Arabidopsis thaliana: one gene and its partners. The protein of the gene in region 2 purifies or fractionates together with the protein of the main gene of each other region. This does not show direct contact. Each region holds a gene or a part of one and is shown on either strand. Other genes may lie near its edges. The genes, in order: AT5G40810, psbB, GAMMA CAL2 and AT5G19760.

Evidence for each region.
Region 1: the proteins of psbB (region 2) and AT5G40810 fractionate together in Arabidopsis thaliana (co-fractionation; one large-scale study listed by BioGRID). This does not show direct contact.
Region 3: the proteins of psbB (region 2) and GAMMA CAL2 fractionate together in Arabidopsis thaliana (co-fractionation; one large-scale study listed by BioGRID). This does not show direct contact.
Region 4: the proteins of psbB (region 2) and AT5G19760 fractionate together in Arabidopsis thaliana (co-fractionation; one large-scale study listed by BioGRID). This does not show direct contact.

Annotation. Positions count from the first base shown.
Region 1 is NC_003076.8:16,336,864-16,345,411, reverse strand, and holds AT5G40810 (Cytochrome C1 family), read right to left. Parts: upstream 5,550-8,548; 5' UTR 5,410-5,549; intron 5,242-5,409; 5' UTR 5,213-5,241; coding exon 5,153-5,212; exon of another isoform or gene 4,824-5,152; coding exon 4,612-4,823; intron 4,504-4,611; coding exon 4,224-4,503; intron 4,142-4,223; coding exon 4,070-4,141; intron 3,980-4,069; coding exon 3,863-3,979; intron 3,743-3,862; coding exon 3,677-3,742; intron 3,202-3,676; coding exon 3,085-3,201; 3' UTR 2,485-3,084; downstream 1-2,484. Other genes in the region: ATR (Ataxia telangiectasia-mutated and RAD3-like protein), read left to right, coding at 1-208, 399-1,019, 1,109-1,303, 1,403-1,552. UniProt on the Arabidopsis thaliana protein: Component of the ubiquinol-cytochrome c oxidoreductase, a multisubunit transmembrane complex that is part of the mitochondrial electron transport chain which drives oxidative phosphorylation.
Region 2 is NC_000932.1:70,419-77,159, forward strand, and holds psbB (photosystem II 47 kDa protein), read left to right. Parts: upstream 1-1,952; coding exon 1,953-3,479; downstream 3,480-6,741. Other genes in the region: clpP (ATP-dependent Clp protease proteolytic subunit), read right to left, coding at 235-526, 1,394-1,464; psbT (photosystem II protein T), read left to right, coding at 3,664-3,765; psbN (photosystem II protein N), read right to left, coding at 3,831-3,962; psbH (photosystem II protein H), read left to right, coding at 4,067-4,288; petB (cytochrome b6), read left to right, coding at 4,423-4,428, 5,233-5,874; petD (cytochrome b6/f complex subunit IV), read left to right, coding at 6,063-6,070. UniProt on the Arabidopsis thaliana protein: One of the components of the core complex of photosystem II (PSII). It binds chlorophyll and helps catalyze the primary light-induced photochemical processes of PSII.
Region 3 is NC_003074.8:18,029,891-18,037,541, reverse strand, and holds GAMMA CAL2 (gamma carbonic anhydrase-like 2), read right to left. Parts: upstream 2,608-7,651; 5' UTR 2,436-2,607; coding exon 2,042-2,435; intron 1,146-2,041; coding exon 769-1,145; 3' UTR 501-768; downstream 1-500. Other genes in the region: CXE12 (alpha/beta-Hydrolases superfamily protein), read left to right, coding at 1-356; AT3G48675 (egg cell-secreted-like protein (DUF1278)), read right to left, coding at 2,991-3,350; IDN2 (XH/XS domain-containing protein), read right to left, coding at 3,927-4,163, 4,253-4,462, 4,570-4,857, 4,935-5,024, 5,099-5,820, 5,906-6,302; AT3G48660 (transmembrane protein, putative (DUF 3339)), read right to left, coding at 7,409-7,473.
Region 4 is NC_003076.8:6,676,877-6,685,144, forward strand, and holds AT5G19760 (Mitochondrial substrate carrier family protein), read right to left. Parts: upstream 5,179-8,268; 5' UTR 4,970-5,178; coding exon 4,853-4,969; intron 4,449-4,852; coding exon 4,365-4,448; intron 4,120-4,364; coding exon 4,058-4,119; intron 3,954-4,057; coding exon 3,592-3,953; intron 3,085-3,591; coding exon 2,870-3,084; intron 2,772-2,869; coding exon 2,715-2,771; 3' UTR 2,430-2,714; downstream 1-2,429. Other genes in the region: AT5G19750 (Peroxisomal membrane 22 kDa (Mpv17/PMP22) family protein), read left to right, coding at 248-597, 802-889, 1,166-1,260, 1,416-1,488, 1,579-1,671, 1,782-1,868, 2,171-2,251; TUA3 (tubulin alpha-3), read right to left, coding at 5,885-6,200, 6,292-6,800, 6,912-7,111, 7,189-7,403, 7,486-7,598. UniProt on the Arabidopsis thaliana protein: Catalyzes the transport of dicarboxylates, such as oxoglutarate, oxaloacetate, malate, and succinate, and of tricarboxylates, such as citrate, isocitrate, cis-aconitate, and trans-aconitate by a counter-exchange mechanism across the inner mitochondrial membrane.

The DNA of each region.
Region 1 (8,548 bases), on a different chromosome or scaffold from region 2:
AGCAACTGAATTCAGTGCCTTGAAAAGAATGATGCCGCTGGATATCATCATGCCAATTCAACAATCTCTTACCATTAGCCTACCAGCATTCCATATGAATAACAATGAACGACACTCTGCCAGTGTCTTTTCTGGTTCAGATCTACCAACTATTTCTGGTATAGCCGATGAAGCCGAGATACTTTCTTCCCTTCAGCGCCCAAAGAAGGTATGCTTTTCCATTTTTCATGGATTGAAAGCTGTCAACCTAATTTCATATGATTTTCTGCTCTGCTCTCTGCTTATATCTCCTTTTATATGTCTCCCAATATGCATTATACCATGGCATAAGATCAGTTTATCTTCAAGAACCAGTCCTGCAATATGCATGTCCAATAGATTATATTTTTTATATTCAGATCATTCTGCTGGGAAATGATGGTATTGAGTATCCATTCCTCTGCAAGCCCAAGGATGATCTCAGGAAAGATGCTCGGATGATGGAATTTACTGCGATGATAAACCGCTTACTATCCAAGTATCCCGAAAGCAGACGAAGGAAGCTATATATCCGCACCTTCGCAGTAGCTCCTCTGACTGAGGACTGTGGTCTGGTCGAGTGGGTTCCACATACACGTGGACTCCGCCATATTCTACAAGATATATACATTTCCTGTGGGAAGTTTGATCGGCAGAAAACAAATCCTCAAATTAAAAGAATATATGATCAATGTGCTGTTAAAAAGGAGTATGAGATGCTGAAGACCAAAATCCTCCCTATGTTCCCTCCGGTTTTCCATAAATGGTTCTTGACAACGTTTTCTGAACCAGCTGCTTGGTTTAGGTCACGTGTAGCTTATGCTCACACCACAGCAGTTTGGTCCATGGTTGGGCACATTGTTGGGCTTGGTGACCGTCATGGAGAAAATATTCTCTTTGATTCTACTTCGGGTGATTGTGTTCATGTAGACTTCAGTTGCTTATTTGACAAAGGCTTACAACTGGAGAAGCCTGAGTTGGTGCCATTCAGATTGACCCAGGCAAGAAACTGCAAAATCGTTTGTTTGTGTTCTGTTGGTATTTTGTTTTCGTTTGTCATAATAGTGAATTGTTATTTTCCAAACCACAGAACATGATTGATGGTTTGGGCATCACTGGATATGAGGGCATCTTCATGAGGGTATGTGAAATCACTCTCACAGTGTTGAGGACACATAGGGAGACGTTGATGAGCATCCTGGAGACATTCATCCATGATCCTCTTGTGGAGTGGACAAAGTCACACAAATCAAGCGGAGTAGAAGTTCAGAACCCACATGCTCAGGTTTGCATAATCATTTAATGATTCTCTTTCATGTCAGTTCATTTACCCTTTCTTTTTTTTCTAATTGCTTGAGACAACCACATGATTTGGCAATTACAGCGGGCCATAAGCAGCATTGAAGCCCGGCTGCAGGGCGTGGTTGTTGGTGTTCCGCTACCGGTAGAAGGTCAGGCTCGCCGGTTGATTGCCGATGCAGTCTCACTTGAGAATCTTGGGAAGATGTACATCTGGTGGATGCCCTGGTTCTGATGAAAATCTCTGAACACCAGCTGTTGTTAAGTTCACACTACACCAGTTTTCATAATGCCATTTATGTTAATACAGTAAGTTGACATGCAGATAACACTATCCTATGAAAACATGGGTGGCTACAAATCTTTTTGACATGCAGATGTTACTTGTATCATAGGCTCCTTGTGCACAAACTTCCTGTAGAAGTTGAAGCTAAAACAGTACATAAGCCAGGTCTCGCACTGTTTCATGATTCTTTGTGGAGAACGGTCAGTAACAATAGTGTTAACTGGAGCGGTCTTGGCTGCAAAAGTTTTGAATGCTTGAAAGGTCTTAACTGAGCCGGGATTTTGTTGGTTGCTTTGATCTAGCTCTGGTCATGAGAAAGATAGGTTTGTTAAGGTTAAAGTGAAGACTGATTTCCTGATAGATGATGTTTGGGTTTAGGCGATGGGAAAATCCGAATCGGATTCGATATTAGCAGCGGATCAGGCACGTTTGCTGCTAGAATGGCTGAAAAGAATCTGAATATTATCGGTATTACATTAAATATAGATGCTCCTTTCAGCGAATTCATAGCTACAAGAGGGATTTTTCCGTTGTTCAGAGGGAGTTTGGATTAGAGATTCCCGTTCTATGACAATGTTTTTGATCTCATTCATGCTTCTAACGGATTGGATTTAGCGGTTAGTAGTAAACCCGAGAAGCTAGAGTTCTTGATGTTTGATCTTGATCGGATCTTGAAACCCGGTGGATTGTTCTAGTTAGACAATTTCTATTGCGGTAATGATGAGAAGAAGAGAGTTCTTACGCGTTTGATAGAGAGGTTTGGGTATAAGAAGTTGAAATGGGTTGTTGGAGAGAAAACTGATGCTGAGGTTTTTCTCTCGGCTGTTCTGCAGAAGCCTGCCAGGATTTGATTGGTTTTTTTCTTCTTTTTAATCAAGATTTTGATCTTTTCATAGGTTATAAAAATTTGAGCTCATTACATTTTTATAAATATTGATTCCAAGGGACAATTAAAAGTGTGGACTTGTATTTTGAGGTTTTGTCCGATCCTGCATGTTTGTTTCATTGTCTGTAGGATTGTGCAATTTTGTTTGGTAATGTCTTAACGGAACTGGTTTTACATTAACGGGTCTAAATCCTGCCTACATTTTTCTAAGTTTTACAAAATCGAGTTCGCAACAGAGGTAAATTGGTTGTTCTGTGGAGTTTTGGTCTATCAGAAATAGACCACAGATTTTAACTTTTTAACTTTAATAGTTACAAAATCATGTTTTGTGATATACAAATAGGAGAGAGATTGTAAAACCACATTTTTATTAAGACAAACCGAGTCCGGTTTAGGAGACAACAAACCAAAAAGAAATAATATAATCTCAAAATCATGTGTGACTTGAGGTTAAAAAAGCTTTACTTCTTTGCCTCATTAGACTTTCTAAACAATAAACAAAGAAACATGTCTTTTGAGACAAAAAGTGGGATTCACCATTTATCCCTTTCAAGATTAATGATTATTACCCAGAGAAAAGGTGATCTTCACGGGATTAGTTAACAACGTCGAGAACAAGCTTACGGGATTTGAGTACTGACCATTTCAGTCTCCTGTAATACGCAGCTTGAAGCAGAGCCAAAGACAGTAAGAATATCCATTTGAACCCCATCTGCACACACATACAACCAACGTTAACAGATATCTAAGCACAAAGAGTTGGATTCTCGGTATAGCGGGTTTTTTTGGGTCGGTTTAGAACCAACATGACGGTTTTGAATACAGAGTAACAATACGGTTCATGTTTGATAATAGTTTTGGTCTGAGATTAGCAGCCTCAAGAAACAAGCAGTAGTGTGGTCAACACAACTATGCAACTAGGTGTGTTCAACACAACTATGCAACTAGGTGTGTTCATCCCGCTATACAGAAGACAGAACCAAGGAAATCTTAACACGGATAAAATGGCGATACTTTTTCTACATCCAAAACCAATCTATACTATGCCGGTTTAAGTTTGGTAACAATTTTCTCAAACTGAATCTGAAAATCAAATAATCAGAATCCAGATTGATATTCCTATTGCAATCTCGTACATATGGAAACGACAGCTTAAAACATGGAATATATGAAACTAAGAAACTTACCAATTTCCTCTCTTCCATCTCTGGTTCAGCTGCCCAGGACAAGAAGGATACAACATCTTTACCCATCTGCATCATGTTTTTTAAAAAAAGAAAAATTAAAGATTATATAATTGACTCAGAGGAAAGGTCAAATCTGATAAAACTTTATGGTCTGCAAATTATTTTCTTAAGCAGAGGAAAACTAACCTGTGCTTCTGTTGCAGGAGTTCCATCTTCATATTCCACAGCTTCATCGTTGAGCATTTTTGGCATAGCGATTGCTCCACCAGGGAAATAAGGATTGTAGTGTAGCCCCTCTCTGATCTGTACCCGTTAGTCACAGGATTATTTCTAACTTCCAACAATTTGAAGTTGTAATAACAAGTCTAAAGCAAAAATAGGAGAGAAATTTACCGAAATTCCAGCAGGAGGATCACGATAACCAGTCAACAGAGCAAAGACATAATTTTGGCCATTGTGACGTGCCTGGAAGAAAATAGCCAAATTGCTTAGATCATAGTAGATGAATTTTCTAATTGTATACAAATGGAGAGAAAGAGCACCAAACCTTAGTTACAAGACTTAGATCCGGTGGATACGCTCCTCCATTGGCGAACCTAGCAGCCGATTCATTTGAGTATGGTTCAGGAAGCCGATCACTGAGTTTACCAGGTCGGGTGAACATCTCACCCTCATCATTTGGTCCATCAACAACCTCGATTTCAGCTGCCATGGCCTTCGCCTCTTCCTCTGTGTAGGCAACACCCACCAAGTCTCGGTATGAGATCAGAGACATCGAATGGCAAGACGCACAAACTTGCTGATAAACTTGGTGACCACGACGGATCCTGCTCATTACAAATCAACCGTCAGTAAAGCAGTCTCAAATTTCTCTAATTTTCAACTTTAGTGTTGCAATTTCACTATGATGATTGAATTGTAGCTTGAACACTCACGAAGCATGGTCATATGAGCTGAGAATGCCCTCATGTGGCCAAGGGTAGTTAGGACACTCCAGACCATGTTCAGCCTCATCAGCAGATGCAACAGTAGAAAAACTCAATAATCCGGTAATACCAGCACCCATGAGAGCAAATGCTCTTAAACCAGCAGACCCAGCATCTTCATTCGCTTTCTTCGAAGACAACCATGACAATACCGGAGTTGCCTATGGTGGTAGATAATACAGAACAACAGTAAGAAAACAAAAAAAAAGGCCAAGACACAAGAAGGTGTATGCTCAACAAATCAAAAGACTACTTTTTCTGAAAAGAAATCGAATATTAATCATACTCTCGAAGCACAAATCAATAAGTCTAAGTTTCTTATATCCCAAAATCTCCAACGCCACAACAATTCCAGTTACAATTCTTCAAGGACAATCTCTCAGAGCAATGAAGGTGTAGACAGAACCAAAACAAATCATATGATTCTATCTTCAAACAGATCCTAAGCTACAGCAGAAAATCAAAAAGATGTAACAGGGAAAAAGCTCACGACTGATTGGGAATGAAGTTTCCTTCTAAGAAGCTGCCGGATAACTCCTCCTCCAACCATTGGATGAACACTTGTACCAATCGATCTCACTGATACAAACAGAGAAGATTCTCAGCCATTACATATACCCGAAACAATGAGTAAGCCCTAGAAAACTCGATTCTCTATATAGATCCGAAGTTCCAACAAATAAACAAAATTGAATGAAGAAATGGCAGATTCGGATATGAGATGTGTCGAATCGAGAAAATACTCACAGGAAAATGAAGCAACGAGATCGGCGATTGACGAACAGAGGAGGAGGAAGAAGAAGAAGAAGAAGAAGAAGAAGTAAACAGCTACCAGAGAAAATGGATGTCTCCGGATGACGCGACTGGACTGTCACACACAACACAACAACACCTTTCAGATTTTTCAAGTATCATGGGCCTAATTTAATCCATTAAAAGCCCATTAAGGGCCTATCCGTACAGTCAACAGCCAAAAAAAATATCTGGAATATTTCTCATTGGAATAAATGGACCAAATCTTGAAATTTAGTAAAGGGAGACTTTGTGTAAATGATCTATGTGTTGTTGTTTTTTTCAATAGTGAAGAGTTCATTAGTCCAGAATGTTCAATTACAAAAAGATTAACACAGGCTGAGATCGAGATCACATTCTGGCTTGTTTAGTAAATATGTCGATCGATAAATTATTATGGCTTGCATTAACTCATTTTATAGGGTCCAAAGCGAGGCTGCTTTGAATCTAACATGCATTATTGTAGTTCAATATCGAGAGGCGCAAATTTGAAAATACAACATATGTTTCGTATGCTCTCGGGATACTACATCGACTCCAAAATTATAATCTTCCTTAAACTTGAAAATGTGTTTCAATTTTACATAGTACGGGAAAATGTAAATGAGAAATTACATGTTCGCTTTTGCTAGGTAAGTTCATATATTAATTCCCACAGGTTTGTGAATGTTCATGGTATGTTTAATATCTGTTACTCATCTTGAATATCTTTGCTGAATAGAATCTCTTATACCTAAAAACAGAATTTTAATTAAGCAGGAGAAATTCTCATCATGACTCAACTCAAGCCGAATCATTAGGTTTTTGCAATCATAAGTTGTGGTTCGGAAAACGAATTTGGAATCATCAGAAAATTAATGAATGAGACATCGTCCTGGAAGCTTTTCTACATATTTTCAAGCCACGAAACAGTAACTTTCTTAATATGTTGATTGGTGAGTCCTTTAGTGTCTCAAGTGGAAGTAGTTTTTCATTTATGAGAGATGATTTAATATGAGTCGGTTTGAATGCTATGCATTTCCTTTCGTGTCTTAGAGAAATGCCTCTATTATGTTTTGGCTTTGGGGAATACCTCCTTTAATTATGTTTTAAACTTTGTGATCTTTGAATCACTCCTTCTTGTACTTGTTTTTATGTGAATGAATGAAAACAAGCCTTTGTAAAAAAAAAAACATATTCTTCTCTTAACTTTATCTACAAGGACCATTCAGCTTTATCAAAATTAAAAGCTATGCTATTATCTTGTCTAAGAGCTAGATAGCGATCTGCTTTTATTGGTGGTATGAAGGAAAAGTATAATTATATGATTAAGTATGTCATTATAGTAATTTTTCTACCTAAATGAATGTTAATTAATTTAGTTTATTTTGGGATGAGGCACCTCCCCAGCAGGTATCTTAATAACATATCAAATAAGGGTTTCGATTTGAGACATGTTTCCACATTGTATCACGAATTGTTCATCAGTGCCTAATTAAGAAAATATACAGTTTAAAATTTGTGATTTTAAAATAATAGTAATTTTCTTATAATTAAAAAATATTTATGTATCATGACCAACGCCTATTTGCTTGTAATGTCGGGTTACTTTCACTCCTTTATCAAAATTGTATCAAATTTTTGTATTTGCGTATAATAATTGTATTATAATGTTTATATATTTTGTAACCTTGTTTTATATCAATATATCTGATTTGACAAACAAAAAAAAGAAATTAAACAACCTAACATTATTTCTTTCAGAATTTAGTGTGTGTTTATAGGATTTTAAATCTAATTTTATATGAGGTATTAGATAGTGGTAATGTATTATGTTAAGAAACGAACTTAAATAATAATAAAATAATAAATATGATTTTTATTGGGTTTTATGACAAGTGAAAAGAATCCACTCTAGCGTATTTCAGTATGTTTTTACCGATAGAATTTATCCCAAAAAAAAATGACAAGGTGAAAGAATACTTATGCTTTTGTGTGATGTATTATGTAAAGGTAATGAAAGATACGTATGATAGGTTTATTCCGTGAAATGTTTTTCATAGATATCAAATGCAAATGATAGGTTTATTCCGTGAAATGTTCTAACCGAACCTAAATGATTAACACACCCAAAACCACACCAAGATGACTTTAGCTATAGAATGAGAGCACATCCCTAGAACCGGAGCTACATAAGTACATAGATCCGACCATAGGACAATGAGAAGACCTTATGGGTCATTGCTTTACACTTCCATAAATAGAGACACAATATATACACATGTATATATTTCCAAATGTGCCCTGACATGCCAGTTTTTTCAATTTTGAAATGGAGGACACTTCATGCAATTTGGTTGGTTGGGAGGACAAAGAAGGACCATACAAGAGTCTTGAAATGTGGTAAAAAACACCAGATGCTGTTTTAGCCTGATCATGGGACCCATACACCTAATTTTATCATATACTTATAAATCTCATATTAATAAAGAGCAATAAGCCAATCAGATCACACATCGCAGTTCCCAGAATTATTTGGGTGCTTTGGATAACCATCCAATTAAATTATCATATAGACCTATGTGGAGAGAGATATATGTTATAAAGTCACATTGCCTATAGTATAATTTAATGTTTGTGTGTGCCTGCTTTTTAATCGGCTTCGACCATACATATTTGTTTATTTCCTTTATATGGAGAGCTTAGTTGATATATCTCGAATCTCAATGCTCGTTTAAAGGATTCGAGCCCGAGATATTTCAGAAGATTTCAGTCATATTTTATACAAATACTTGCTGCTAAGTAGTCTACCATGCCATTTATAGCTGGAAAATATCATGCAAAACCGAACCATCTCCTTTCCGTACAGTTTCTATATTGCATAAATTGAAAAAGAACTAAAAAAAATTTGATTAGAGCCACAACTGAATAATAAAGCTATAAAAGTGGACTGAATACCAATATACCATCTTGTACAATTTTGTTTAGCATGTAATTAATTAAGATTGTATATGTATATAATTAATAAACCACATTTAAACGACTATTAAGAACAAATAATGTTACACCTATAATAAGATAAATTATGAGATATGTATTTTCTTATAAATAAAAT
Region 2 (6,741 bases):
GGTGTGAAAACAAAGTTTGTGACGCTGAAATGTGCCCGAATAGGTAAGATATCATTTGAAAAACCTCTTCCTTATCTCATACTACTCTTTCAATATATAATCGAATTTTTTTTTAATCTAAAAAATTTCATATTGAATTCGAAGTGCCATGCTATTATTACTTAACTAATTCATATTTCAAATGGCGAAGGCATAGTATTTTTTTCTCGAAAATAAAAAAACTCATTGGCGCCAAGCGTGAGGGAATGCTATACGTTTGGTAATTGCTCCTCCGACTAGGATAAAGGATGCTATTGAAGCGGCCAATCCCATGCATATTGTCTGTACATCGGGTCGCACAAATTGCATAGTATCATAAATAGCCATTCCAGATATTACCCATCCACCAGGAGAGTTTATAAACAAATAAAGATCTTTGGTATCCTTTTCTATACTGAGATATATCATAAGACTAATAAGTTGATTCGAGATTTCGGTATCAACCTCTTGGCCTAAAAAAAATAATCTTTCTCGATAAAGTCGGTTGATTAGGATAATTTTTTATTCCTTAGGAGCCGTACAGGCACCTTTTGGTGCATACGGTTCAATAAAAATTGTGAAAAAATCAATGTGTTGATTCCAACCTACCCTTTTTTCATAGAGGGTTTTTCTTTCTAACTTATAACGGAAGGGCTTGCCCCAAAAGTAAAAGAAATTTTGAGTTTTGGCGCCTTTTATTAGATATTAAAATCCTCTAAAAAAATGATTGATTCATTGATATTTTTTTTTTTCATCGAGATTCAGTTGAAATGGCGATGGTTTTTTCTTGTTCCTGAACGGGCTTCTTCCTTTTTTTATTCCATTTTTTAGGTTTATGCTCTACCCCGAGTAAAAGGAAAAATTTGCCCGATTTTGATTTGCACATATAGGACAAATGAACCAAATACCGCGTCTTTTTTTACTACTCCTTCTTTTTTTTCAATTCAGTTCTTTCACTTGTCTTCTGTCAAATAGTCAACAAATTTTGAATTATATTATATATTATTTGTATTTGATTTGAGCAACAGTTTTAGATCGCCCTGTTTCAATTTTTTTTATAGAGTTTTTATCATAATTTTGCATATAATAGAAGTAGTAATTATAAAAATATTATATATTAATTATCAATTGGGTTTTTGCTAAACGGAGCCTGGATACTTCATTTTATTAGTCCGATCACGTAAACCATAAAAAAATTTTGATAATCTAATATCAATCTAAATACTCCCTGCATTTAATTCCACTTTATTTTTTGCGCTTCGCGTTACAAATTTTTGATAATTCAATCAATCTTTTTGAGCGAAACAGAGGATATCTCGATCGAGGGAGAAAATGGGGAAATCCCATATAGCCCGATATATCTGACAAGTCGCACTATATGTCAACCCAAGATGTATCTCCTTCTCCAGGACTTCGAAAAGGTACTTTTGGAACGCCAATAGGCATGAAATGAAAAAAAAAGAGAATGAAGTTCTCTATTTCACTTTGATGTGGAAACGTAAAATTGGGGTTTCGTTTTTTAATACTATTATCCTTTTTTCCTACTTTATTAATCATATTTAAATTAATGATATTTAATACATAAGTTGAATAAGCTAAAATAAAATATAAAATAAAAGTAAAGTAAGAGAGAATGAATAAAACTAAAGGAAATTTTTTACGAACGGGCTTCTGAATGATCAACAACAATAGCTATCTTGGTTCATAGAAAATAGGATTAACCCCCATTGCATATTGGTACTTATCGGATATAGAATAGATCCGCTTCCCTTTTTTTCTATGAATTGAATTGTTCCATTATTACTAACAGAATAGAACAAATATTAATCCTTTCTCCGAAATAATTACCTAAAAAGGGGGGGTACGTAGCATAGTTTTTTCCAATGCAATAAAGTTACATAGTGTCTATTTTTCGTTGATAAAGGGGTATTTCCATGGGTTTGCCTTGGTATCGTGTTCATACTGTTGTATTGAATGATCCCGGTCGTTTACTTGCTGTTCATATAATGCATACTGCTCTAGTTGCTGGTTGGGCTGGTTCGATGGCTCTATATGAATTAGCAGTTTTTGATCCCTCCGACCCCGTTCTTGATCCAATGTGGAGACAAGGTATGTTCGTTATACCTTTCATGACTCGTTTAGGAATAACCAATTCTTGGGGCGGTTGGAATATTACAGGGGGGACTATAACGAATCCGGGTCTTTGGAGTTACGAAGGGGTAGCCGGAGCACATATAGTGTTTTCTGGTTTGTGCTTCTTGGCAGCTATTTGGCATTGGGTATATTGGGATCTAGAAATTTTTTGTGATGAACGTACAGGAAAACCTTCTTTGGATTTGCCCAAGATTTTTGGAATTCATTTATTTCTTTCAGGAGTGGCTTGCTTCGGTTTTGGCGCATTTCATGTAACAGGATTATATGGTCCTGGAATATGGGTATCCGACCCTTATGGACTAACCGGAAAGGTACAACCCGTAAACCCGGCGTGGGGCGTGGAGGGTTTTGACCCTTTTGTTCCGGGAGGAATAGCCTCTCATCATATTGCAGCAGGGACGTTGGGTATATTAGCGGGCCTATTCCATCTTAGTGTTCGTCCGCCTCAACGTCTATACAAAGGATTACGTATGGGCAATATTGAAACCGTCCTTTCCAGTAGTATTGCTGCTGTCTTTTTTGCAGCTTTTGTTGTTGCTGGAACTATGTGGTATGGTTCTGCAACTACTCCCATCGAATTATTTGGTCCTACTCGTTATCAATGGGATCAGGGATACTTTCAACAAGAAATATATCGAAGAGTTAGTGCTGGACTGGCTGAAAATCAAAGTTTATCAGAAGCTTGGGCGAAAATTCCTGAAAAATTAGCTTTTTATGATTATATTGGTAATAATCCAGCAAAAGGGGGGTTATTCCGAGCGGGTTCAATGGACAATGGGGATGGAATAGCTGTTGGATGGTTAGGCCACCCCGTCTTTAGAAATAAAGAAGGGCGTGAACTTTTTGTACGCCGCATGCCTACTTTTTTTGAAACTTTTCCGGTAGTTTTGGTAGACGGAGACGGAATTGTTAGAGCTGACGTCCCGTTTAGAAGGGCAGAATCAAAATATAGTGTCGAACAAGTAGGTGTAACTGTTGAGTTTTATGGTGGTGAACTCAATGGAGTGAGTTATAGTGATCCCGCAACTGTGAAAAAATATGCTAGACGGGCTCAATTGGGTGAGATTTTTGAATTAGATCGTGCGACTTTGAAATCTGATGGTGTTTTTCGTAGCAGCCCAAGAGGTTGGTTTACGTTTGGACATGCTTCGTTTGCTCTACTTTTCTTCTTTGGACACATTTGGCATGGTGCTAGAACCCTCTTCAGAGATGTTTTTGCTGGTATTGATCCAGATTTGGATGCTCAAGTGGAATTCGGGGCATTCCAAAAACTTGGAGATCCAACTACAAAACGACAAGCAGTCTGATGCAACATTGCTTTTTTTCTTCTAGTTTCTGTTTGTTATTTTATTTAATAGGTAGGGTACTGTAGGAATCTTTATTTAAATCGCTGCCGTTTCTTTGACTCTTTTTCTTTCTTTATCCTCCCAAGTAAACAAAACGTAAACAAAACAGGTATGAAAGCTATAATTGTAAACCACGATCAAATTTATGGAAGCATTGGTTTATACATTTCTCTTAGTATCCACTTTAGGGATAATTTTTTTCGCTATTTTTTTTCGGGAACCACCTAAAATTTCAACTAAAAAATGAAATAATTTTTCATTATCTTCATTAACGTAATCAGCCTCCAAATATTTGGAGGCTGATTACGTTAACTAGTCCCCGTGTTCCTCGAATGGATCTCTTAGTTGTTGAGAGGGTTGCCCAAAGGCAGTATATAGAGCATACCCAGTAAAACTTACAAGTAACCCAGATATAAAGATGGCGACTAGGGTTGCTGTTTCCATTATTATAGAATTGAAAGACCACACCGGATCTATGCTAAGATCATTTATTTACAACGGAATGGTATACAAAGTCAACAGATCGTAATGAATACAAAATAAGATTTATGGCTACACAAACTGTTGAAGATAGTTCTAGATCTGGTCCAAGAAGCACTACTGTAGGGAAGTTATTGAAACCATTGAATTCCGAATATGGTAAAGTAGCTCCCGGATGGGGAACGACCCCTTTGATGGGTGTTGCAATGGCTCTATTTGCGGTATTCCTATCTATTATTTTGGAGATTTATAATTCTTCTGTTCTACTGGATGGAATTTCAGTGAATTAGACTGAGAAGAATCTTGAAGTTCTAGCTTTTAGCTCGATACAAAAAAGTAAAGTATGCAGGTCTAACAATTTTAGCCTATTCTCCTTTGGTAGTTCGACCGCGAAATTTTTTTCTGCATTGTATATTTCCGGAATATGAGTGTGTGACTTGTTAGAATTGACCCTATGGATAGTACAGAGAATGGGGTCTGTCATCTTTATCAAGATGGTTTTACTTCGTCGGATATTCATTCGAGTATCTGGAGCACGAAATAGATCAAATAGATCACAAAGTATTCGAACTATGATTCATACTTAAATACTCAAACCTCGTAGCCGGACTTCTTTCCGTTCTATCTTATAAACTTTAATAAATCAAAAAAATTTTCTGCTTTTAAACTCTTATTTGGATCAAAGGACAAACGCTTCTTTGTATTTTATGTTTTTAGTCATTATAGCTTTTTTTTTATTGAATAAGTGATGATCCAATGGTTCTCACTCAGTGAACTTTGGACTTTGAAGGTTTCATTAAATTATCGTGGTTCTCGTATGAATCTGAGGTTTCAATTGATTAGTTAAGTAGGGTCTTAACAAGAGAATTCCTATCAATAATAAAGAAAACAAGAAGAAATCCCTGTCCCCGTTCCATACAAATACCAAATAAAAAAAGACAATAAAGATAGGTAATCTAGAAGATTCAAGAGGCCTGTAACGATCAACACAACATAAAGACGAATGAGCTTACTTGATTTTTTGGCATTTAACCACAAAGACGAGCTTTCGCATTTTGACTCTTTCATATCTTTAAATAATAAAAAATAATATTGAATGAGAGACAAGTTTAAAACTTTATATTCCATATCTGTTTCAATCAGTATTTGGGTCTTTTTTTGTTTGAGCTGTACGAGATGAAATTCTCATATACAGTTCTTGGAGGGGGAGTAACCTTGGTTTACCTATCTCAATAAAGTTTATGATTGGTTCGAAGAACGTCTTGAGATTCAGGCGATTGCAGATGATATAACTAGTAAATATGTTCCTCCGCATGTCAACATATTTTATTGTCTAGGCGGAATTACCCTTACTTGTTTTTTAGTACAAGTAGCTACGGGATTTGCTATGACTTTTTATTACCGTCCAACCGTTACTGAAGCTTTTGCTTCTGTTCAATATATAATGACTGAAGCTAACTTTGGTTGGTTAATCCGATCAGTTCATCGATGGTCGGCAAGTATGATGGTCCTAATGATGATCCTGCACGTATTTCGTGTATACCTCACCGGTGGTTTTAAAAAACCTCGCGAATTAACTTGGGTTACTGGTGTGGTTCTGGGTGTATTGACCGCATCTTTTGGTGTAACAGGTTATTCTTTACCTTGGGATCAAATTGGTTATTGGGCGGTCAAAATTGTAACAGGTGTACCTGACGCTATTCCGGTAATAGGATCACCTCTTGTAGAATTATTACGCGGAAGTGCTAGTGTTGGACAATCCACTTTGACTCGTTTTTATAGTTTACACACTTTTGTATTACCTCTTCTTACGGCCGTCTTTATGTTAATGCATTTCCTAATGATACGTAAGCAAGGTATTTCTGGTCCCTTATAAATAATATAGATTCTAGGTATTTGTACTTACTTATTACTTGGTGAAGGAACGATAGTATTTTATTGCTATAAATATGGATTATTAAAAAAATAAAACATGTATTTGGATATTTCCCTTCAACTCCACAATATTTTATTATTTTTTTGACATAAAAAGTTGAAGGGAATTCTATGAAGAGATAATGGATTATGGGAGTGTGTGACTTGAACTATTGATCGGGCCGTGCAGAAATATTACTTTATCTGCTACATTGGAATTCACAACCAAATGTGTCTTTGTTCCAACCACTGTGTAAGCCCCATACAGGGGATAGGCTGGTTCACTTGAAGAGAATCTTTTCTATGATCGTACCCGACGCTGTCGTGGATGAGTGGGCTCCGTAAAATCCAGTAGATTAAGGGATGGAACAAAATCCTGATTATGTTTTTAGTTATTTTGGACTAAAAAAAAAAAAGAAAATAATTATTAATAGTAATAGTATGTAAATGCATTCATTTTCTCTGCATCGACTCGATTTATGATACTATCGGAGTGAATACAGGATCTAATGAAGAGTAGAGGGTAGACTCCATTAGTAACAAGTAAATCCTTTGTATTTGAAAAATCTCGATATAATTGTTGAGATTAAGGACGAATTTATAAGGTATGAGACGACCCAGAAAGCACTTAATCATGATAAACTTTTTAAGCTTACGTGGGTGTTGAGCATTTACCTGTAAGAATGGAATTTCTTGAATCTTTAGTTGCAATAACTTTGGAATCGGATAATTAATTTTTACATATTAAATTATATTTTTTGTATGTATTCATTTAGTTTGGTTAATTCTTGCTCGAGCCGGATGATAAAAAATTATCATGTCCGGTTCC
Region 3 (7,651 bases), on a different chromosome or scaffold from region 2:
AGAAGGATACGAAAGATGAAACGTTGAGGATGAAGATAGAGGCGTTTTGGATGATGGCAAGTCCTAATAGCAAAGATGGAACAGATGATCCGTTGCTCAACGTGGTGCAATCAGAGTCGGTGGATTTGTCTGGGTTGGGTTGTGGTAAGGTTTTGGTAATGGTGGCTGAGAAAGATGCGTTGGTGAGGCAGGGTTGGGGTTACGCGGCTAAGCTTGAGAAGTCTGGTTGGAAAGGAGAGGTTGAAGTGGTGGAGAGTGAAGGAGAAGATCATGTTTTTCATTTGTTGAAACCTGAATGTGATAATGCTATTGAAGTCATGCATAAATTCTCAGGGTTTATTAAGGGAGGGAACTAGCTTTGTGCTCTCTAGAGATATTGGAATAATTTGGTACTACATATTTTAGTTGCGTCTCTCAGTTTCTGTAATGTTTCAGTGATTGGCTTTTCGCCCAAAGCAACACAATAAAAATTGAAGATGAAAATATTTTAGTACGAGATGTTTAATTCTATAACACTACGAGATTATTAGCTTTTCCAATTGTGAGGGGAGACGAAAGAAGTTTTACACTTTCCAGTTTTCACCATTATCATCTTCATAGAAAGTTTGAACACAAGGATATGAACTTAAACAAAACAAACAGAGAAGACAACATTTGAAACACAGCTCTGCTCTTTTTCTTGTTCCGCAGCTACTTATTCAGATCAAATTCCGAAAACGAAGAAGCTTTCTTAATGAGGGAAGTAGCCAGAAACCTGGAAGAAGCTTTCTAGATGGCGATTCCAAGGGATTTCTTGAACTTCTCAACCTCTAGATAGATAGTTGAGTAAGGCAAGAACTCTGAGAAGTAATCTCCACTTAGGTGGTTAATGGCAACAGCAAGTTTCGGGATCTCTAAGGTTTCTTCATTGGTGAGTGTTCGAATAAACCTTGCTGGATTGCCTCCCCATAGTTCACCAGATGGGATTCTTCTGCCAGGTGGTAAAACAGAACCAGCTTCTAGGATTGAGCGGGTTTCGACCAGTGAACCTTCCATTAGGATTGAGTGTTGCCCGATGATGCATTCTGGTTCGATAGTGCATGATCTTAAAAGACTGTATGCACCAACTGTCACGTACCTATCGATCAATGTTTGTGCTGGTAATCCTGAAAAAAATCAAAGTAGAAAGTATCTTCTAAGATCAGATTTTTATCTATCATATCAAAATTCAAAAGCAGCACCACAGTATGCTCTATCCTTCAAGATGTTAGTATAGAAAAAGCATGAAGACTGGTTGATAATACAGAGCTATTAACCCGAAAAAATGGTGAATCAAGTAATTAAGTACTAGTTGTAAACTACAGCTTAATCAAACCAGGAGGCTGTTGAACTAAAGACTTTGACACGGAATCCACCTTGGTAAGACTAAAAGACGCTTATGTTCATTCAGCTTGACGCAGCTTCAGAATCTCGGTTCCAACCACTGAATATAATATCAACTTTCTGCAAAATTCTCTCCGCATAACTAAAAATCTTTACTATGACATAGTTCCTGAAACTTCTCCAGAGCTGCTAGGCAACTTTCTACAACTAAACAAGATGGTCTCCACCATGCTAATCTATTCAACCCCTGAATTACCTAAATTTTAAAATCAAGCACATATCATCAATGGGTTTCTTGCTTCCAATATCACTAATCACCTAAAGAACTACGCAATTCTATGCATCCTTGTCTAGCTAAACGCAAAATGCTCTGAAGATTAACTTTACTGAACAAATATCATTCATGATTCTTGATCTGGGGACATCTTCACTCCAAACAAATATGCTTACTTACACTTCACTACTTCAGATAAAAGTGTAAAATCTCCTTAAAGGTGAGACTCTACATTTTCCATAATCAAAATGGAAGATGAAAATGAAAACCCTAAATTCCAATATCAATGATTCCATTAGCTAGCAAGCAGTAACTACAGCAATTGGATATCCAGAACTCAAACTAGAAGCTACAATGGAACCATACAGAGACTCAAATTCCGAAAAAATGACAAAGAACAAGAACCTGTAGGCGACGACCACGCAGCATGAACAACACACCGTTCCTGGACATTTGAGCAGAATCCAACGGTGATCTTATTAAGATCTCCTCTCAAAACGGCACCGTTCCATACAGACGAGCCGTCCCAGACGGTGACCTGACCAGCCAACACAACGTTAGGTGCCACGTAAGCATCTACAGCTACCTTCGGTAGCCACTGTCCCAGAGGAATTATCTGTCTCTGGCCTCTGTAGTCCCATTTTACCCGATCCGGCGACGGCGTCACCTGCGATTTCGGTTTAGGTGTTTCCGTCGTCGCCACCGCTACTGCTTCCGCGGCGAAGTAACGCCGAATCAGATTCGATGAAACAGCCGATGTTATGCTTCTTTTAGAGATTCGTGCTAACGAAGTCGCCATTGTTATGGAATCGGATTCTTCAAGGTCTTGTGTAGAGAGAGAGAGAGAGAGACAGAAAGCTTCCCGGAGGAGGAGACAGAGAGGAGTCGTCGGGAGATTCTTCAAAATCTGAAAAATGAAACTATTTGGAAAGTTTTATTGGGCCTTATGGGCTAAGTTAATAGAGGCCCATTAGTCATGCCATTGTCTGCAACAAGTTTCATGTACGATATAATCTTTTTGGTATGGTATTGATATGCGTTCGTGTTCGTCGTTTTTACAAATTTTAAATGCTGAAATATGTTTTATTCCATAGTGTAAGAACAATATTTTCATATATAAACGCAAACAAAATTTTGTTTATGTTATAACCACTCTTTTAACAAACTACATGGCAAACACATACGAGTACATCAAAAAGCTTAGCTTTGTTTATTTTAAGCTAAAGATTACAAAAAAAAAAAAATTACTGCAAGGAGAATTTTGGATTATTGGGCATTGTGATCTCTCAAATCGATAAAAGAACTTCTTAAACCTCGAAGCTAACAACTGGCTCGCAACATTTGTGTGTAGCCTTCACTTGTGTGTTGATGATGGAGTCGTAGCAATACGCTCGCAGTTGTTCTTGAGAATAGGAGGGAAGAATGGGTTCAATGGAAACATATGTGGCCAACAGTTTGTATCTATAGCTGAAAACGTTTTACAACATGGGGCTTCAATGCTAGCAAACTGACCAGAAAATATCGATTTGTAGATTTCTTGTACACATCCTTGGACGTTAAAGAGAGATGACCAACATTTTATGATATCAATAGGAAGACCCGGTGGGAAAAGTCCGGGGATCGTAGGGAGTGCTTGAGAGAACCCTGGCCTCACTTGAAGAACAATGGTCATAGCTAAGATCACAAAGAGAATAGCTCCTGAGTTGTTTTCCATCTCTCTCAAGCCGGTTTTCTTCTTTCTCCTTTAAGGTTCTTTGCAATGATGTAGATGATTTTGGCTATATTCACGAAACTTAGATTTATAGGGTTATAAGATGAAAACAGTGTTAGCATAATAAGGAAGGGGTCAATATCAAATTTGACTACAAAAAGTAACTCATGACAAAGTTTGTTTTTACAATAAAAGGTTCTAAATGACATGCTTAAGATATGAGACAGAAGAGAGGCCAAATCTAGTTGTTTTACATGTGAATTATATTACAATGATATTTTTATTTCTTATTGTCCAAAGCGGCCAAACTCCTACAAATGTTACAATGAAAAGAACCGATGCAAGACATCAAAGTTGTGTCAATTATTCACTAAGTTCTGAGAAGAAAAACAAACAGAATCCACCAAAGTTTGGTCAAACCAAACACATTTCTCTGCAACTAAAAACCGCATCGGCTTTTTATTCAGTCCCATGTCCATCATCTTGCAGCTGCAAACCATCAATCGAAATCCTATATTAGCAAATAACAATTGCAAATGAAAACATATTTTTGTTCGGTTATCAAAAATGGTTAAACCTCTAAGCCATTCCACGCTTGCGTTTCGCCTTTTCCCATTGATCAAGTAAACAAGTGACACCTTCTTCAAGTGTAGCCTTCTTATCTGCTTTGAAGTTCCATAGCTCTGTTGTAATATACCTTCCACTCGGGTTATACTCGTTTATCTCCAACAAAGCTTTCGTGACCGCATTGTAAGGACCATCTCCCAAATCTGCCTTTAGCTCCCTCAGCTTTTCGTCTCTATCATCTATCACTTCCTAAACACAATTAACAACAACACCAAAAAAGCTTTTTAATCTTTCAGAGAGATTCAACATAACAAACAGAGTCAAGAAGGCGGTCTTACCACTTCTCTATCTTCATTTTCGAGCTTGACCCGCTTGAATGGATGCCAATCTGAATCTTTGAGATAGTGTTCCCAAAGTTGGAGAACTTCAACTGCTCGGTCCTCCACATCTTGCTGACAATACTTCTGCTGCATTGCATCCACGAATGGTTTCGTCACGAGCTCTCCCATTCTCTTAACACCGATATTTGTGTTCCATTCTTTCATAATCTATGAAGGCACATGAAACAAACAAAACCAAGATTTTAGTAAAATGTCAAGCTTTCTCATAGCTTTTCGATGTGATTGAAAAGAACAACACTTTGAATGATACATACGTTTACCAATTCTTTATGAGCTTCTTGAAGCTCATCGTTGGTCCTGCGCTCTCTAAGGATAAGAGTTTGGTTAAATTTATCGAGATCTGCGAGTTGTGCTTCCTTCTCACCTAAATCTTTGAAGATGATGTCCACCTCTTTCACAACTTCAGCATCGCCATCTGATGCCATGTGCTTCATCACATTGAGCTGTCCTTTCAACTGCTCAACTTCTAGCTCAATCGCTTGTTTCTGATCTCTCTGTCTTTCTAGTCTTATGATTTTCTCATGAAGCTCCTCCTTTTGCCTCTGTTAGGTACAGAATTTTCTCAGTAATCACGAAAATAAGCCCAACCATTTTTACAAAGAAGAAGAAAGTCACTAACCCTTTGGTCTTCAGCAAGTTTTTTAACTTCCTCGTCTGCCTTTTGTTGTTCCATGGCAGCTAGTTCAAGAGAGCTATTCTTAGATGCATTCTGATAAGAGAAAAAAACCAATTATTTCTTGAACATATATCTTGAAAAGAGAGATACAGAGAGTAAATGGATACCTGTTCAAGATCTTCAGACAATTTCATTCTCTCGGTTCCATTGTGCACTTCGCGCTTTGCCAACTCATTACATTTGATTTCGAGTTTCTTCCTCTCTGACTCCAACAGCCTCTTCAATTTCTCATGATCATCAACTATCTTTTGAATGTGACTCATTGTTCTTTCTTGTATAGCATTCAGCTCACGGTAATGCTTTTGCTGATTCTTCTCCTTCTCTTCCATCAACTGATTAAGTTCCTCTGACTTAACTGAACAAAGCTCCTCAATCTCCTTCATGTCTTTTTTCTTCTCTTCTACAAGTTGTCTCAGGTTCTGCACAAGCAATTCCTGTTTCCTCGCCTCTTCTTCCGTAAGCTCAGCTATAGTTTTCAGATCACCCGTCTTCCTCAAGTTTTCTCCAATAATATTATTACCGTTATAATCATCAGCACGAGCAATCCAACCGTAAAGACCTAACTTGGGACCGTCTTTCTTCAACCAGTCCTTCTTCCCATGACCATCTACTGTATAAGCCTTGTCAAACAAAAGACCATTGTGAAGTCCATTCCAATCTTTGTTAAACTCCACAATAGCTGTTCCTGAATGTCCCAAGTAGTTCCATAAAGGACGAACTCTAGTCGGGTTAAATCCTCTTAGAATATACTCATCCCTTAGCTTCGATCCACTCTCGCCCGCAGATCGACCATCTTGTGCCTTTGTAGTTGGAATATTCACCACAATACCTGTTTCAACCACATATACACAAACACTAAACACACATTGCAGTACAATCTTAAGGAGAAAAGTAAGAACCTTTAAAGTGTGTACCTTTCCAAGGATACACAAGCTTCTCGTCATGATCACAATCTTGAATAGGGTTTCCGTTTTTCTGACGCTTTGATGAAGGCTCTGCTTCTGAAGCTGAATCAGCAAGATCTTGTTGAAGGTATTTGACAAGAGCAAGGTGACTTGCTTTCTCCTTTGCACTTCTTTTATCAGAATTGCTATTACCAACTCCAGAAGCATGTTGAAGAAGATCTTTGTATTGAAAACTAGTTTTCTTCTTGTTTGGACAATAAGGACAGATAAAAGCTTGAGGAGAGAGTCTCACTTTCAGCTTCCCACCTTTAAGGTTTAGGTACATTTTGTCTCCATACTCATCCATTTCAGATTCACTAATATCTGAATCTTCATCATCTGAGCTTAAAATCACAGTGCTTCCCATCTTGTTCCTTGATTATAAGTTGCAATCAAAAGTGAAATTCTTTATCAAAAATCTGATCTTGCTTTTGAATATTTCAACAATGCAACTCAATTCCACTGCTTTTATAAACTAAATTTGATTCCTTTTTCCCTCTTCTGGGGTTTTTGCACCATTAAGTGAATTGCATGTTTGATTTTTACAGAGATTATGAAGATGGGTTTGTAATCAAAGAGTTTCAGATAGTGAGTTTGAAATCAAACGAGATCGATCTTACAACCTAAATCTTCTATACTTTGTTTTAAAGAACGCAGAACATTTAAGAAACAGAGTAGTTGGGGAAACTTACAGGAAGAGGTTGGAGATGGGTGCTCTCACTGTTCAGTGTCCGGAAGAAGAAGCTCTCTCTGCTCTCTCGTCACTTGTTTTGGGTCGTCCTTTATTTCACCTAGGGTTGAACAAATAATTACTTTTTATTTTTACATCACACATTAAAGTGAAAATAAAAAGTCAATAAAAGTAAAGATGGGAGAGAGAGAGAACACATCGAATATTACGTCTTTTGTTCTATCCAAATCAACTTTTTCATTTAAGTGGATGAAACTTTAGTTAAGTTCTTGATATAGTCACATTTTATTGTCTTGATTCTTACATTCTTGGAATTTGTAGAAACAATTGTTTATGCCATATACTGCAATTTACAATGAGCTAACGAACACAGTTTTTACTAGGGTGACATGTTTTTGTGTGTTCCCGTGGTATCGACGCGCTTTACTCATACGCATGACGGGACTGACTCCACTAGTTACATAGTACGCAGTGAAAGTGTGAAACATCTTTAAACAGGTCTACTTCTGTGCACTTTCAACGTTCAATCACATCACATGAGAATCTAAGATGCAACCGGATCACTTCTTCTTGGTGGATCATGTGTTGGCCCATTAATAACTTAATTTTAAAGCCCATTTTATTCTTACAAACCCCTACACGCTGACACAAGGCAAGTTTCGAGTCAAGCAAAAGACTCTCGACATTCGTTTCAGAACGAACCGAACCAGACCAAACAAAATTGAACATTTCGTAAGCAAATCCATAAGAACTCAAGATGCAGAAATGAGTAACAGAGCATTTTAGTACTCAATTCCAATTTGAACTCGAATACCAATAAACCAAACTAAGGCTAACTGCCTAGTGCCTACCATCAAATTCAAATCAACGCCATAACCAGATTTAAACCAAACCGAGAATCAAACATAGCGAATTTTGAAATTAACTTAATGCATATTCAGATTCACAAATTCATAACGTTTTGACAAGACACAGAGAAGAAACAAAATCCAAAACAAACCATAAAACTAGACAACCGGGGGAAG
Region 4 (8,268 bases), on a different chromosome or scaffold from region 2:
TATTTCTTTTGCTTAAAATTTGTTTCTTTTGATTAAAGTTAAACCCTGAAACGCTTTGAAAACCTCCGGTGAGATCAATACACTCCGGCGTCGCTTCGATGCATATCAGCATATGAAGACCCATATAAAACCCCATTACTAAAGCCCATATAAAAGCCCAAAATACAACCGGAAGCTAGATTCAGGAGTTCTATACTTGTAAAAGCTAGAGTCAACGCCGTTCAGTCTCAGACCAGACGAAACAACGATGCTTAACTCTATCACTTTAACCCGGAAACCACCACTCCCGTTCAACTCTGTTGGGTTTTCAGGTAATCACTCTTCGTCTTTTGGTCGAAGAACTATAACGGAAGGTAGTTCGAGCAAGGCTCTTTCGTTTGGGTACAAAAATGTTGGTTCACTGAAGTGTGGTCGGAGCAATTGGCCGGGGCGTTCTGGGACTGCGTTTGGGCATCTAGTCCGGGTCTCTGCGGTCCCAGGTGGGAATTCAGGTGGCTCTGGCGGGTTAGGTGGTTCAGGCGGTGGTGGTGGTGGTTCCGGCGGCGGTGGTGGTGATGGAAGCGACGGAAAAGGAAAGAAGTGGTCACTTCTCTCATGGTAATTTTTCTTACTTGCTCCTGTCACTACTCCTGTTCTTGTGTAAAGATGTTTCTTTGAAAAGCAATTCATTGAAGCAGATGTTGGAAATTTTTCTTGGATGTGTTAATAATTTACTCACGGAACACTTTTTTTCTAGTATGATTCTTTGCTTTTGACTTGAGCATAAACACACTTTGTGTGCCTTTTTCTATGGTGCTTCAGGTACCAGGCTCTTCTCTCAAACTCTCCTGTTTTGACCAAAGCTGTGACCGCAGCACTTTTGAACCTCGTTGGAGATTTGATCTGTCAGGTAACTCTCTCATTTTTGTGCTATCTTTGAAGTTTGGATTCTTCACTATTCAGGATATATCGAGATAAAACAGTATTCATGAGCTGCTGCATTATGTATTTCTGAACAGACAGACTTTAACTTGAATTGTGCTATCTCTTTTTTAAAGTTAGAATGGAAGCTAATAGACCCAAAATACAGGATAATGTAGTAAAGCCCCATTTTCTTTATAATGCTTGATCGTATTCTGCTAGATATGTGAGCGACATTGCTTATTCGTATCACTTTTGGTTGCAGCTTACTATCAACAAGACCTCATCGCTGGACAAGAAGAGGACACTCACCTTTACCTTCTTGGGCTTAGGGCTAGTCGGTCCAACATTGCATTTCTGGTATTTCCGTGGACCTTTCACTCGTATGACACCGCAAAAGCTAACTATATTACGTCTCTGCTAGTGGTTCTTCAGTTGAAGAGACTTATGCATCCATTGGTATATTACTTATGCTTATTCTCTGTTCTCTGAAATCTCTCAACTCCATCCATTAGGTATTTGTATTTGAGCAAAGTGGTGACAGCTTCTGGATTATCAGGCGCAGTTATACGACTTCTACTGGATCAGGTAGCAAAGTTTCCTGTTCCCAGTCTAACAATTATGTTCCCATCTTGCTTCCTCTGTGTTAGCACTTAACACCAAAATTTGTATTTGCAGTTTGTTTTTGCTCCTATTTTTGTTGGAGTTTTCTTATCAGCAGTTGTGACACTTGAAGGAAAACCATCAAATGTCATACCGAAGCTACAACAGGTTGGATTAAAACCTAACTAAACTTAATATTTCCGGTGCAGGAATCTAAATTTGATACTTTGTATCTTTTGCGGTGTTCTAATTGAATCCATGAATTGCTGGTTGTATAGGAGTGGACTGGTGCAATGATAGCAAATTGGCAGCTATGGATACCATTTCAGTTTCTTAACTTCAGATTTGTTCCACAGAACTACCAGGTTTGATACTAAACTCTGTGACTACATGAAACGGGAGTCTGAAAAAAAATACAATTGGGTTAAGATAGATATGCTTCATACATAACGAATAACGACCCACACGCTGTTAATCCTCTGCTTAGTATAATCTTTGAGAATTTATTACGCATTTTCATGTTTTTGAGCCCTTGTTAAAAACATCTTTGACATGATGAGCTTGAGATGAATTACGCTTGAATGACATTAGCTTCTAGCTAGTATGCTTAGCAAGATTTTCTTTGGCTTTGAGGATGAATCGATGTCTTATATATGAATTATTGCAGGTACTTGCTTCAAACGTAGTGGCTTTGGCTTGGAATGTGATTTTATCATTCAAAGCTCACAAAGAAGTTGTTGCAAAGTAGACATGTTTCTTACCTGGAGCCTAGAGGTGGTTGCTGGATTGTTATCGGCAGAGTTTTGGGGAAACGGTCTTGTCTGCTGATGCAAATGTTTGGTGTTTCGAAACAATTATTTGGGAACCCTGCACTTGACATTTTCTTAGAGTTGAAACAAGCTTTTCTTCAAGCACTTCAAATATTTCCCCATCATCAATGTTTCATATATTTATTGTTTCCTCATTCAGAGAATTTTTTTAGTTCGTATGAAAATTTTGAAATCTCTGGCTATGTGTCTTAAACTTCCACCAAAGAAGAAAATTTAAAATTCACCGGACCAATCACCGACCGAAACAAAAAATTAAAGTTCAAACAGCTACAATAATATGCTTTTAAGGCAGGTTATGTATATGATTAAAAAGCAAATGAACACAATTCCAATTGTGTTTTCGTTCTTCTCATCTTATTTTTTTGCTGCTGTATTTGTTCCTCACATACCAATCTTCTTTTGAAATTTCGTAATCTGGTTTAGGAAGATCCATGTCATCTGCCAAAAGAAAACCCGATCAACAACTATCTTAGAGGCAATCACGAAGTGGTAATTACAATAACATAAACAAAAAAGGGAGATAAGAGCTATTATACCATGACGTGAGGGGCAATCCTGACACAGTAAACTGGGAAACCCGAGTAAAATTTCAGAGGTCCTCCTTCTTTTAAGGTTTTCATCGCACAATCGAGCGAACCTGTGTATGGATACTTTCCTTGAGCATCCGGTTGCATTTTCTGAATCTGAGTTTTGACAAAGTCAAATGGCAGACTGCAAGCCGCAGCGCAGAACCCAGAAACAGCACTTGCTCCTGTTAAAGTAAACAAAAACCAAACTCAGAGATCTATTTTAACTACAATTTATCATACAGAGATTACATGACCATATGAAAATACTGATAAAGGTTTCTTGTTAAGTCTAGTGCAGAACTAGTGTAACAAGCCTAGGAAGTTGAGAAAAGTGTAGTTTTGCCAACTGAGCGACCTTACAATTAGTAGCTCTTAAAAGGGAGTAAGGACAACGCAATGGGATCCATTCTGGATTGGTCTTAGATCTGGGTTTGGGCAACGGTTGAGAGTTTAGAGAGTCCTCTCATTAATAAAGTATTTTCCTTGGTGTAGTTCTTGGATAGATTGTATTAAGTGAAATACACATTTAATTTATGACAATCTAACACTCGTGTAATCAGGAGATTATATGCTACAAATGTAAATTTCCAAGACGATTGATTCTTAGGATCCTTGACTCTAACTGCTATCTACCTGCTCACAGAAAAAATATATTCTTACTGTATGAGAAACTTGGAAGAGCAGCTTACCTACGACCGTAGACATCTCCCCGAAACCAAGATTATCTCTCATGTATTCAGCACTTTGATCATAAGATGCAAGCATTCCCATGTTCAAAGCCATAGCTCTGACCACAGTGGGCCCACACCCTTTCCAAAGTGCTAAAACTCCCTCATCAGCGCTAATACGGGTAAGCGCATGGAAAGCATTGGTATAATTCCTGCGCTGAGCTAGCGGCAAAGTATTATCGGCCTGCATTCTGATAAGTGCTAGATCGGCTGGACTACCGACGCAAGCACCAATAGCACCAGCTGTCAGACCACATAGTGCCTTCTGATACAGCGGTAGAGGCTTTCCATCATTAGACTCAATTGCCTTTGCAGTCAGCAACCTAATAAGATTGACAGAAGAGAGGATGATTTATCCATAACCATAAGGCAATAAAAATCTATTCATCTGGATGGGCTCAAGACGAAAGACGAATGACTAACTTACTTGAATGATCCAAGACGGGCTGTCGTGTAAGTTGCTTGCCTCAGCAACCCAGCAGATAATCCCTATTAAAAAAAATTAACATCAAATAAGCTCAGGAGACATCTTCAATGGGGTATAACTAATGTTGTTGTTGGAAAGACTGTTAGATAAGGAAATTAATTCTTTGAATAGCTGAGACTCAGATCCGGAAATGCAGAAATCATATACATTACAAATCAACAAAAGTCATGAACATATCAATAGAAAACATACTACACAAAACGTACATCTTCAAGATAAGTAATGCATCCAGAAATGCAATTTATACCTTGTAGAAGGCACCAACGCCCTCATTCTTAAGCATGTTGGTGGTTATACTGGCTGCAGATCCCTGACCAAGTTGAATCCTCACCTTCACCAACCAGAAACAAAACAAAGTATTAGTTAATTACATTCACATCATTTAAAAATCCTATGAACACAGGCGAAGAATCACACATTGTGATGAACCTAAGAACGTTATTCTAATCAAAATCCAGATCTGAACTAGAACATTTCATCTAAACATGTATCAATAGCAACAATTCACACTCAAACGAGTCTGACTATGTTCCGAGCAATGAAATTTGATTATAATAAGCCAAAACAAAAACTCAGATCTGAGAGATAAAATCTACAGACTCGGATCTGATGAACAACATTTACGGATTTCGTAGGTATCAATACCAGCAAATCAAGCAAGAATTGTTAATACTAACGAGCTTAGACATAGAGATGGGTGATACAGAAACGTGTATCCGTAAACATTTGACAGACCTTAATCATGTCGATCGGCTGGATAACGCAAGTAGCGAGCATACCAGAGGCACCGCCATTGACGAAGGGCTTCACGGTAGTCCAGACACTGATTGGAGCTTTCTTCTCTTCCGCCATCTCTCTCTTTTCTTTTGTTTTCGTACGGACTCAAACGCAACCAGAAGAAGAGATTCCTTCCGCGGAGAAAAAGAGAGAGAGAAAGAGATTCACTTGGTGGAGAGGAGACGATGAAGTGTGAAGCTTATGGGCCTTTTATATTAACACCACCCAACTGAAACTAAATTGCACCAAACCCTTGCCTTTTTAATTTTTATTTTTTTCCATTTGCATATGAGATCTGATCTAAGCCAGACATATTTTCTAAATTTATTAATTTGGACTTTACTTTTCACCATTCGGATTTTACGCAATCCAAATATTTAGAGTTATTTATTACGCATTCATATGAATTTTAGATTTGACATTCGTCCATTTCTAATTTTCTAGTATGAAGTTGAAAATCGTTAGTATTCTGAATTTTTTGGGTCCAATAAATTCTAATTTTTTAAAAAAATTGATCTTCTGTATTTGTATTTTGTATTTGTTCAATAATTTTTGGCATTTTTCACGCCGTATTTTAGATAGTGGACCAGTGGAGCAGTATTTCTGATGCAATTTGATAATTCTGATGCCCTTTTGTGAAGATCAACGTGGTTTGTTAACATTAGTTGAATCTCATAAATGTATTATTAGCTGATACGACAACAAAGCATATACAGAACGTTGATAAACGTTAGCGCACCGATAGACGAGATTATACTTCAAGGAAAAATGGACAGTTGTAAGAAGATTATCAAAGTTTGGTACAACAAAAGCTTGATAATGAACTCGGGAACTCGCAATGGTCGCTCTACCAATGAAAATGTATCCAACCGAGATAAAACACGAAGACCGAACGAATATTTTACAGGATTTAAACAATCAACAGAATCAAAAGTGAAAACAGATAAACGAAAAAACTTTTTTTGGTTGCAGTTTTTTTGAGAAAAGGTGTCAATAGTCTTCACCTTCATCTTCTTCATCGTCTCCACCTTCAGCACCAACTTCTTCGTAATCTTTCTCCAGTGCGGCCAAGTCTTCACGTGCCTCAGAGAATTCACCTTCCTCCATTCCTTCACCAACGTACCAGTGGACAAATGCCCTCTTCGCATACATGAGATCAAACTTGTGGTCGATCCGTGAGAACACCTCTGCAACTGCTGTGTTGTTACTGATCATACATACAGCTCTCTGAACCTTAGCGAGGTCACCACCTGGAACAACTGTTGGAGGTTGGTAGTTGATTCCACATTTGAACCCAGTTGGGCACCTGCAAAACAAAACCCATGCCAAAGGAGTTATTATATAATAACAACATGAAGGTAGAAACAGTAGCAGCTTTATCCATTTCTAGATCATACCAGTCAACAAACTGAACAGTCCTCTTTGTCTTGATGGTGCCAACAGCAGCATTAACATCTTTGGGAACAACATCTCCTCGGTACATCAAACAACAGGCCATGTACTTTCCGTGTCTCGGGTCACACTTTGCCATCATGCTAGCTGGCTCAAAAACGGCATTGGTGATCTCAGGGACTGATAGCTGCTCGTGGTAAGCCTTGGCGGCTGAGATGACTGGTGCATAAGATGACAGCATGAAATGGATACGGGGATATGGGACAAGATTGGTCTGGAACTCAGTGATATCCACGTTGATGGCACCATCAAACCTCAAAGATGTTGTCAAGGATGAAATGATCTGTGATATCAACCTGTTCAAGTTTGTGTAGGTTGGCCTCTCGATATCTAGGGATCTGCGGCAAATGTCATAGATGGCTTCGTTATCCAAGAGGACAGCTACATCCGTATGTTCAAGAAGGGAATGCGTTGAGAGAACACTGTTGTAAGGTTCTACAACAGCAGTAGAAACCTGACATCACAGAGGAATATGCATTAAAACCAAGTTTCATCCAAATTAGACCACTATAGAAACATGTCATGTAAGAGTTTCTACTTCAGTGTCTAGCAAAAGAAAGAGTACCTGAGGAGAAGGGTATATGGTAAAACCAAGCTTAGACTTCTTTCCATAATCTACAGACAAACGCTCTAGCAACAGAGAACCCAATCCAGAACCAGTTCCACCACCAACAGCATTGAACACCAAAAACCCTTGTAAGCCAGTACAGTTGTCGGCAAGTTTCCTCACACGGTCAAGACATAGATCCACAATTTCCTTCCCAACTGCAATTACAAGAAGCATTCTAAGGACCATTTCAAAAACCCTAACAAGTTAGAACAAGCAGAAAGTGGATTCTCACCAGTGTAATGTCCTCTAGCGAAGTTGTTAGCAGCATCTTCTTTCCCAGAAATGAGCTGCTCTGGATGGAAAAGTTGACGGTAAGTACCAGTACGAACTTCGTCGATAACGGTAGGCTCGAGATCAACGAAGACAGCCCTAGGGACATGCTTCCCAGCACCAGTCTCGCTAAAGAAAGTATTGAACGCATCGTGTGCAACACCAACTGTAGTATCACTGCAACAACGCAAAAGACTCGTATCTCAAAAATCTTCCGATCCACAGAAACAGAGTACAAAGAGTGAATTAGGGTTTATACCTCGGCATCATTCCGTCCGGCTGGATTCCATGTTCGAGACAGTAAAGCTCCCAACACGAATTTCCGACCTGGATCCCAGCTTGTCCGATGTGAATGCTTATGATTTCTCGCATCTTCTCTCAGTAGAAACCCTAATTTCGAGCGATTCGCTTCTTCGACGGACGGAGAATTGAGGAAATGAGAGCGGTGAGCGAGATCTTCTTTTTTTCCTAATTTCCATGATTTTTGTGGGAAATTGATTATTTATTGAATGAGATTTGATAATTGGTTGGGGTCCGCCAAGTTGTGACAGCCTGCCTTTGGGACTGGGCATAGACAAAATACGTGAGATTCGATCTGGATCTAGATCTGGAAGGTGTCGATTTTTATCCGGTTTAAATAACTTACCGGAATTTAGGTATTTCGTTAGTATGAGTGAGGTAAATAATAGCTTAACCGACCTAAATCGATATTATAGGTTAAATTAGGGTTTAGTGGTTTAAATAACTATTGGTTATAGTAGGATGTTTTTGTAAGCGCCAAACAGAAAAGAAACGTCATGTAAGGTTGTCTTTGTTATAAGATTTTGATTCTCTTAGTGCATTTATTTATTAATTAACTTACATAAATATTGACTACGTAAAACGTGTTTTCAAGATTTGAAATCACAAGTTCTGAGATAACCCCGTATAATCCTTTTAATGACATAAGTAGGAGAATAAAAATTTGCAAAACTATAAATTTGTAGAATGAAAAATTGCATAATAAAACAAACAAATATATGTGTCTAAAATTAAATATACA